2 linked regions of the Neodiprion lecontei genome follow. The protein of the gene in region 1 interacts with the protein of each later gene in a biochemical or structural test. Links are inferred from orthologs where the notes say so. Each region holds a gene or a part of one and is shown on either strand. Other genes may lie near its edges.

Evidence for each region.
Region 2: the proteins of plexin-A4 (region 1) and semaphorin-1A form a complex in vitro, tested with the Drosophila melanogaster proteins (2 studies listed by BioGRID). The link is inferred for Neodiprion lecontei from reciprocal best matches to the Drosophila melanogaster genes PlexA and Sema1a.

The regions. Positions count from the first base shown.
Region 1 is NC_060264.1:32,243,708-32,248,749, forward strand, and holds the start of plexin-A4, read left to right. Parts: upstream 1-1,750; 5' UTR 1,751-2,676; exon of another isoform or gene 2,677-4,155; intron 4,156-5,042. Other genes in the region: putative GTP-binding protein 6, read left to right, coding at 1-228, 313-499, 573-805.
Region 2 is NC_060266.1:25,992,309-25,997,406, forward strand, and holds the start of semaphorin-1A, read left to right. Parts: upstream 1-2,052; 5' UTR 2,053-2,227; intron 2,228-5,098. UniProt on the Drosophila melanogaster protein: Involved in growth cone guidance through its role in axonal repulsion. Function in neurons is essential for adult survival, motor neuron survival, and is important for climbing behavior and activity.

The sequences.
Region 1 (5,042 bases):
GTCGGCTACACAAACGCTGGGAAAACTTCCTTGATCAAAGCTCTCACTGGAGATTCAAGCCTGCACCCTAGGAATTACCTCTTTGCAACTCTCGATGTCACCATCCATCAAGGCACTCTACCCTCAAGACTGAAAGTATTGTTCGTCGATACTATTGGCTTCATTCAAGATGTGCCTGCCACTCTTATTGAGCCGTTTGTAGCAACTTTAGAAGACGCCATGAATGCTGTAATTGGCTTTTGATTACGCTCATTCTATTCTTTTGTCTTCAGTCAGTCATGCTCTTTTGACCGATGAATGTTTTATTACCAGGACATTATCTTGAATGTGCATGATGCAAGTCATCCGGACAGGCAGGCCCAGATGGACCACATGCAAGCAACATTAAAAGGCTTGATTAAAGACCAGGTGGTGATAAATGTTGCAAATAAAATTGACCGAATATCAGAAGATATACCTCGACTGAATATGCTTGGTGTGTCAGCCACTAAGCTAATAGGTAAGTTGTTTCCAAAGTTTCAGAAATCAGAGTTGTACAGAGTTGTATTGAACATTGCCTTTGGAATCCTCAGGTATAGACGGTTTACGGGATGAACTCGATAAGTCGATACTAGGGGCAACAGGACGTACCATAGTCCGTATTAGAGTGCAATCTGGAAGTAGAGCATCAGCTTGGCTCTACAAAGAAACCACAGTGACCAACGTAGAAGCTGATCCGGAAAACGCCCAATACTTGTTTATGGATGTGATTACTACTGAGTTACAGCTTAAAATGTTTCGAGTATTTCTAAAAAAATATGAATAAAGAAGAGACCGCGGCTAAATTTCTATAACTGGAATCAGAATAGGTTCTGTCATAGGTTTAATAAATATGGATTCTCAACGAAATTTTTCTAGCTCAAAGTATTTTGGAAGTATTCTTTTTTACTTCAAAAACTTAGAAAGTGGCGGTACTTCTTTACCGACAGAGCAACGAAATGCCCTATAAGGTACCGTGGCAAAGAACCGCGAATAACGCCAAAGATCAGTGTTATCAATACGGCTAGTACAGACTTCCGAGTCAATCAGAGTGACGTCAACAAGATGGATAGTAGCTGCGCAAAGTATCCGACTACTAGCGCCCTCTGAGTAATCTTGCTCAACGGAGGAATTTACTAATATACCGGGTGACTCTGAATTCTTAAAGCAAATGCGACCTCCCACACCTCACCAATCTTCGAAGTCGTACCGAAGAACGATCAAGCTTCATGGCTGGAGGTAATGTCATACGCGAAACAAAATATGGTTTCTGATTTTAGTTCATCAGGGCTCCGAGATCATATTGAAAATTGTAAATAACTCATGGACACCAACATCGGTCTGGAACGATGAGTCTCGTTTCCGGAGCGCTTGCAAAGATGTTTGCGGAGATCGATTTGCATTGCGAAACTTGACGCAAGAGCAAGATCGTTCAATTATAATATAAATAAATCATCGACTAGCGTGATTGTCAAATTTTTTAAAATTTTTCCTGCGAAGCACAGAGCTGCTGCTCGAGGACACCTGGTATATACCGGGCATCGAGCATATTGTACGAAATGGATAGTAGCAATTTCCGGGTCGCCGCGCTGACGTTATGGAAACGGTTAGTAGTTACCGACGGAGCGAACCCCGAAGCATCCCCCGCATGACGGGGTGGGACCGGTTTTCTTGTTTTAGGTAGTAGGAGCGGCCGGGTCGTCGGGAGAGTGGACGGTGTTTTCTCAGACGGATAGTACGCAAAGGTGGGAGTAGCGGCAGTAGCTGTAGGGGACTGGGGAGCGAAACGAGTCGCGCAAGTGCGTCCGTCCGCGTCGGTACCGAAAAATTAGTAGCGAGAGAAAATCCGGGTGAAAGGTAACCTGGACAGTAGAACGTAACGGAAAGAATCGTATCCAGAGGAACGCGAAGTTGGTCGGAAGTATAGGAGAAGTCAAAACTGACGGTGACAATTTTCTGGCGGATAAGTGTAAAACAGATAAAAGCGAGCGGATGATATCCGCGCGAAAGAAAGATATAAAACAAAAGAAGGAAAGGAACAAGGCACGCACAGTGGAGGGATATCGACGACACAAGGCGGCAGCGACGTGAACAAATCGCACCTCAACAGAAGAGGTTTCATCCATCTCCAATATCTCTGTCTATATATATTGTGTATGTACGTTACCTGTATGTATATATAGGTATATATTTACGCGAGAGGATCGACCAACTGTCACATTGGTCGCCATTTTATTAATCTGGTAGCGCCGACCACCGCTCTTCGTGCTGCTGCTGCTGTTGATGCAGCGTGTGTCTTCTCCACTTATGCTTCCATCCTGATGTCGAATAGGAGAAGACAGCAGCAGGGCGCGACCGAAAAACTGGCCGACGGTGGTGTGCGGTGAAAACAATAAATAAACCCGTGTATCCTCCGCGAGGAGGAGAACCAACCAACCAACCAGCCAGCCAGCCAGCCAGTCGGGGTGTTAAGGTGGTGCTGCGCATACCGCTGACAACGACGACTACGGACAATGAGGAGAATATAACCAACAGTAGTTGATGAATAAAGACGGCGAGTCGTGTTGCGCCCGTGGCGTCGTTGAGTAGAGAAAAGTAGAGAACAGAAGATCGAGGAGGAGACGGCACAGTGCACATAGGCTTCGAGTGTTTTCTTTTGTGAGTGTGATATTATTCTACGTGTTTGTTACGTGTGGTATGTGTGTGTTTTGTGCATACGCGTTTGTTGTTTCGCCTTCTACGTATAAATTATACACTACTTGTGCGTGTACTTGTACAGTACCTGCATGTATGCACACCTCTCGCTCTCTCGACCTGGATTAGTAACTGATCTCCCGTAGTAGTAAGGATAAGGAACCGGAGGCGGCGAAGCCTTGAGTCAGTGAGCACGTTGGTGAACGTGAGCAGTGAGTCGACCGTCATTCTCGTCTAGCGTGACTACTAACCTACCACCCCCCTCGCCGTTAGAGAGTGTATTTCTCACGACGGTTCTTTTAGTTCATGGTTCTCGCTTTTGCCATAGAGGATACGACACATACGGAGACACAACACGCGCGCGCATGCTGTAGGACAAAAGATGATCTGCAACTAGTGTTCCTTGATCTTGTAAACAAGTGAAGTGAGGAGGTAAACAAAAGACAAACCGCCACCGCGCGCAGTTCGAATAACCGTGAGAAGTGATAACATGCGATAGGGAGATATTTGACTCGTCCGTTATCTATCCTCCTCCTAATCGCGGCTGTGGTCATAAGACCGGTGTAAAACGACGAGGTGCTTAATCGTCGAGGAATTCTCAACGAAGCGAGGAAAAAAATTTAAGACGAGATAGAGGGAGGGGGATTTTTTTTGGGTTCACGCCTGGGGGATCGGGGGCGGCCACCACCGCCATGCCTTGCGATAGTTTAGACAACAATCAGCATCCGTGCAGGAACAACGTCGGGGGTTTCGATAACATTATTTCGCAGGCCAGCGGAGAACGGTGTACAAGGTGGTACGAGATGAGATACGAATTGCTCTGTGCCTGATCTAGAACGTAGGAGAAATCCGTATCGTTAACGCCGCCGTTGCGTCGAGGTGACAGGGAGGAAGTAGGTATTTAATAGATGAGAAGAAAGTGAAGAGGAGAAAAGTAAAAGGAGATTACAAAGAAACCCGAACAATTTAAATACTTAAAGGTAGTAGTTAGATAGGACAATGTGAAAAAGAATTTTGGGAGAGTACAGCAAGTATATTATATAATTAAAATTGAAAATTGACAAGAAAATATATAAAAAAATAAATAAATAATAAAAATGAAGAGGTGTATAAAGTACTACGCTGTAATAGTTACCTAGATAGACGAAAGGGGAAACAAATGTGAACGCAACAACGAGGAATTTCTATATCTACTTAAAGAGAAGATTTAGAAGGTAAAATAAAATAAAATAACGAACCAACGGAACGCGCGAATGACTAATAATTATAATAGTAATAGTGATTATACGCCGTAACGATGCAACAAATTATTGGCGTGAAAACGCGATTTGTTTTTGTAGTGGAAAACTGGAAGATCGAATTTGTTAATCGACAAACCGAAAGAGATAACGAAAAGGAAGCAGCATAGAACCACGAAGATAGGAAGGAAAAGTTTCAATTTCGGTGTGTTTAATCATTATTCTTTCTGTGTGTGTTGTTATCGTTGTTACTCCTACTATTGCTAGATTAATAATGCTAGTATCGATGTCTTTGCTTTTATCGTTGCGATTGCGATCGTCAGTGCGGTGAGTATAATCATCATAATCATCGTAATCATCGCTCGTTTTCTTTTTCTTTTTCTAAAGTTCAAAAGAGAAGAAAATTAAGGAGAAAACACGCAACCGCAGCAATGAGAATTGCGACAAATTGAGTAGATAGCAGAAATTCACGCATCGGATATCGAACCACGTGTTTCCTTATGTGTTTTAAGAACTTACGTACTTACACACACTATTGCTCAACCAACCAACGATGCATGCCTGCAGGATATATAAACTGTGAATGCCGCGCCGATTAATCACTGTACGTATACATCGCGTCATTGTTGTATGTTTCTTTTATTTTCTTTTACTTCACGGCGTCCTTGTCGCTTGTTGATGTGCGAAACTAGTACCTATTTATACATACATTTACGTACATCGTACAAGTATCGATGAAACAATTATACGTGCACCGAAGTCTGAACAGGATTAATTCTCCTGGTGGAAAGAAGAGGGAGAAACTGGCGTCTACTGGTACGTCGTACGAAATTCACCTCCCCACTTGAACTATCTAGAAAGACATATGAAAAAATAAAAAATAAATAAATAATGACTACACTCTTCCGTGCTCGTTCGTTCGACACTTCATGCATAGAGAGGGAGAGAGGAAAGAGAGCAGCTCGACTGATTTATCCCTCCTTCGTTCCTTACTGCACCCTCACACGATGTCTTATCTTGAAATTTTTCTCCCTTCTACTTATCTTCTACTTTTTCGCCTTTCTCTCTCGCGTCCCGTCGTCCCATCGTTGT
Region 2 (5,098 bases), on another chromosome or scaffold:
TACTTTTTTCATTTTTTCTAAGTAATAACAAATTAAAAATGAAAATCGAATCTATGTACCAACAAAACGTAGCCCTACCTGTATGTATTATTGTATATTACTGATCAGTGATTATATTTCCGTCCTATTCGCGACGAGTTCAACGAAAATTATGCGCAGAATGTGAGCGTCGATCTTGTCGCTTGCATGGGAGTAAAAAAAAAAAGAAAACGTTTATCAATTTTCAGAGTATACATATTATTTTTAAGAATTTGTGAAAAAAGGTCCAAGTGCCTTTAATATAATTATTCAATCAATCGATCAATCAATGGTCAACCCTGAGAAAATTAGCAACGGTTGAACGAAAAAAAAATATGTAGCCCGGACGCTTAAGATTGGCTGTTGAGCGCGTTCGTTCTCGCGTTGAGTATTTCGGGTGAGCTTTGATATATAAAATTATATTTTCTGCCTACGGAAAAGGTAAAAAGAATAAAAAAGCATTTCTGCTGAACACAATCTTTATCAAGTCATATATGAATTATAATCGTCGACGGCGAGACCCGTGAAAGATATCAACCGCGTAAACCTGTACGATATTATTCATTCGGTGCAACGAACGCTGATTCGTTCTGAACGTTTTATTTTTATTTTTATCCCTCTTTTGCATCTGAATGGCAATAGTTGGAATTGGCGCACTTTTTGCGACACGTGAGAAAAAACAGAAACGGCGATCAAAATACCATCGAATTATTGTACATATGTATATGTATGCAATGAAACGAGCGTTCGGCGTTGTATGGTACACATACCCATACTTCTAATTGAAATTATTATTATAATAATAACTATTATTGTACGATTAGTTAGGACTAGAGTTTTTTTTTTTTTTTTTTTTTTTACAGAGCACCTTCTTAAAGACGCAAGAAAAAGCAAAAAAATAAATAAAATAATATATATATATATATATATATATGTGTATATATATGTATATATATAAATAACTAATCGATTATACATGTATACATAATACAATATTATGTAGGTAAATTATTATGTTACTATTTACTGTTATTAAAATAATATGGTGACGTTTTAAGTATAGAAAACACGCGAATTGGAGCATAATTAACTTGCTATACCATAACCGACTTTAAGTTTAGATATATGTATACATATGGTATATGTATATACATACTATAAATATCGTTCTTGTATAATATTGTACGAAGGAATGAAGCATACTTGAATAAACTTTACTGAGAAGAGAAGAACGGTGTACAATGGGTACGTATCTCGCTGATTATCCACAATGTTGTTAAACGCGAGAGGATACACACTTGGTACAATTATCTAAAATCGTCCAAATTTTCTTGTTACAGATTTGAATATTGGCGCCCTGCGGCAAAGCTAGTTCACTACTTCCCGGCAAGATGGCGGCACGTTCGGTGTGCACGAAGCGCCGAGGGTATAGCGGCGATGCGCAGAATCAACTTTTAAGGGCTTTCGCCCTACGTCCGTTAGATAGCGCGGGCCCCGAGGCACATCCGCAGAATCAAAAAAGACAGCTGGGAAATGTAACATCACGCATCGATTTGGTCGGCAGCCCTTCTCGCGTCGTCTGAAAAGTTCCTCCGTTCCGTCTATCTCCTCGACCGTGGTATTTATTTTGTAATTAAATAGTGAACGATAAGCAACGGAGGAGTGGGAATTTCGAATCGTGAATAGTGAGAAGGTGATTCCAGTATCGTTGTTACTAACTCGGGGTGAAAATATAAGTGGTGCGTAAAGGTGGTCAGAGACCCGGGGGCTAAAGCGATATATTCGTTTATTGGTCATGCCGTTCCTCTCGTGACAGCAGCGGCAGCCCCTCACCCCCTACCGACCCACCACGGTTCGTCGACCATTCCGGCGACCCCCGTCCCCTCCTCGCCCTGCCTCCCTTTTCTTGCCTCTCCGCCACCCCCTCCCCGCCTGACCCCCTTGTCTTCGTCGTCGTTGGGTCGCGGTTTTCTTCCCAACCCCCGGTTTACTACGACACGATGTGATTCACGTCTTGGAATTTTTCGTCGAAGAGAACAGAAGGTCTTCGTCATTCGTGCACGGCGCTGCACGCTGTGAATAAGGGAGAGTGAGAGAAAGAGAGAGGGAGGAGCGAGAGAAAGAACGGAAGAAAGAAAAGAACGACGGAAAGAGTGGCTCGCCCTTGGATGTTTTTGTTAGGACCCTTGGATATCTCTGCTGCATTGCGGTAAGTCTGGATACTGTTTCCCTTTTTCAAACCTCCGCCTACATCTATATGTGTACCCATGCCGCTATGTCGTCTCTCCTCCCTTCTCCTCCTTTCTCCTCCTTTCTCTCGCTTTCGTCTACTCCGCGTCTGGTTATCTTATTCAAACGCGATACTCTTTCTTCCCCCTCCCCTCCCCGCCCCTCTCCTCTTTCCCTCATGTTATCGCCGTAGGTCTCTCCGTGAAAATCGAATGATACGTATGCAAGTAGTCGCGGTATCGGGGTCGTGGTCGTCTGCATGTTGAAACGGGCGAATCGCGAGTCGCGACAGAGAGAACGAAACATTGACCCGAGGAACGGGGAGCATCGATGCGATGCAATGCGATGTCGTTAGAGCCGCGAATCTATGCGGGTCACATTCTGACCGCGCTTAACGCACCGCGACGTCGTTATGCAGGCGGTGGTACTTAATTTTTTCTTTGTGCCTATGCGCGTGAGGAGAGGAAGCGGGAGACGTGTAGAGGGAGATGTAGAGATGGGGAGAGGAAAGGATCATCGTCGCCGAGAGGAAGCGAGAGATAGATAATAAACGGCGGAGCATGAAGAGAACTGAGAATACTGAGATCCTCCGGTCTTCCGGCAACCTACCTACCTCATGCCTTGTACCTTGTACCTTCTATGTAGCCTTTGTTGGCACGTATAGTCTCTTTCTCGTCGTATATGTACAATTTTTCTCTCCGTGAAATACCCGCATCGATTTTGCCAAGAGACCGCGAGAGATAGAGCAAAAAAGAAAGAGAGAGAGACAGAGAGAGAGAGAGAGAGAGAGAGAGAAAGAAGCATTTATTCGCCCTGGGACAAGTCCCCTCAGGCGGTATGTAGAAAATACGTATGAACATAAAATGAAAATAAAATCAATATGTAACAAAATTAAAACTAAAGTTGGAAAAGGATGTAACAAAAGAAGGGAGAGAGAGAGAGAGAGAGAGAAGAGAGAGTGCTGCAGGCGCCTGGAGGGCTGAGAATTAATGCAGTTACGTAAACTCGTGCATTATACCTACTACGTACATGCATAATACGTATATGTACGCGATCTTGTTACGACGGGTACAAATGACAAATTTGTTTAACGCGCGGGGATAAGTCCGTACGTGTCGTGGAGAGGCGAATAATGAGCGAGCGTTCGATGAACTCGGCGTGAGTTAAGTACAAAGATTCGCAAGATTCACGTGATTCGCAACGAGGAGGACGACGAGTCGATTCGCTCCTCCTCGACCAGCTGCGCCAGTTTCTGCTTCTCCTCCCTCTCGCTCCAGCATATCGAATATAGGTGTCTACTACGCATGCAGGCAGGCTCTCCTTCTCCTCTCGCGTTCTTCGTTGCTGCGGTATATGTGTGTGTGTATATATATGTATAGTAGTGTATATGTATATAGTATATATGCACGCATGTAACGTAACGCGAATTCACCATGGCACGCGCACACTCGGCGAAGAGACGATGTTGAGTTTTACCCCGAGAGGTTAATCGCGTTTATTATCCTCTTGACAGTAAGAAACTGTTGACTACCGATGCATGTTGCCGTCACTATGTCGCCGGTGTCTATATGTATGTATGCACGTACGGTATCGCGGTGATACGATTAATTACTTTGCGCGTGACTCTTACCCTCGGCAGTCGTCGTCGTCGTTGTGGCACCGGGACGACGACGACAGTTCGTTTCGTATTACCGCAAGTAGAGTAGAAACCTCGCTTATCCAACCTTCGATTACAGCCGATGTTCCGCATTGACCGGTGCATATCTTGTTTGGATAATACGGAGAACATTGGATAAAATGGAATAATTCGTTATGTCTATGTCGTACACCTATGTGTACCAAATAGTTTTGTGGCTCTACTTTGTTTGAACACGCGTGAGCTTGCAAAAGTTTTGTTGCGAGTTTATACAAACGCGACAGCTCCGATTCTGGAATCAAGGGTAGAACATCGTGATTGCTTGGATTGTACGTACGTTTTCCGTATTATTCGAGTTATCATCTCCCCGTATTACCCTCGGACAAACGAGGTCCTACTGTAGAACGAAGTGCAGCGTTATGCATCGGACTGCTCGTGTATTGTGCGAATCGCGTGTCTAGCAATAAGCGTAAAATAGCTTGAGACCGAATCCGTATCATGTTGGAGTTAGTTGGCAACGTTATCGTCACGATTCATCCTGCAATGAGGAGAAATTGTTAGTTTGCGATTTGCGCATTGTTTGAAATTCAGTAAAACATAATAAAACAAAACATATTCGTGTTTTCTGATCTCACTCTCTTCAAGATCGTTGTAAAAATAAGAAAATAGTGATGTTTTTCCCGATGTTTCGTTACGATAACGTTGCTAACTTGAACCTCGTGAATCCGCGGTGTGACCCCGTCCCGGAAATGTGAAGAAAGTTGGTTCGCGTTAGGGTAGTTCATTTTATAACTTTTTTTTTTAAGCTGCACTTCGAAAAATTTTTGACAAATACTGACCAAAAAAGTTGTCGTAAAACCTGGAGGAGGTAGAAAAATATTCTGTGTCGCTACCAATTATTGTTATATTTTTTTTATTATTACGTGTACACCCCACGGACTTACATACATATATATATATATATATATATATATATATATATATATATATATATATATATACGAAAACGACCACTATTGTGGTCCAATTATTCATTGTTCATAAATGCCAGTACCGAAATCGAAACAGGGACATTAAGGCGATGCGATACTACTATTTCGGTAGCAAAAACTGACATCCAAATGTCTCCGATTAATAATCTGTCCGATAAAGGACGAGAACAGCCAACCGCGGAATCGTCAGGCACACCTTGCTGTTGATTGGTGAACGATTAAT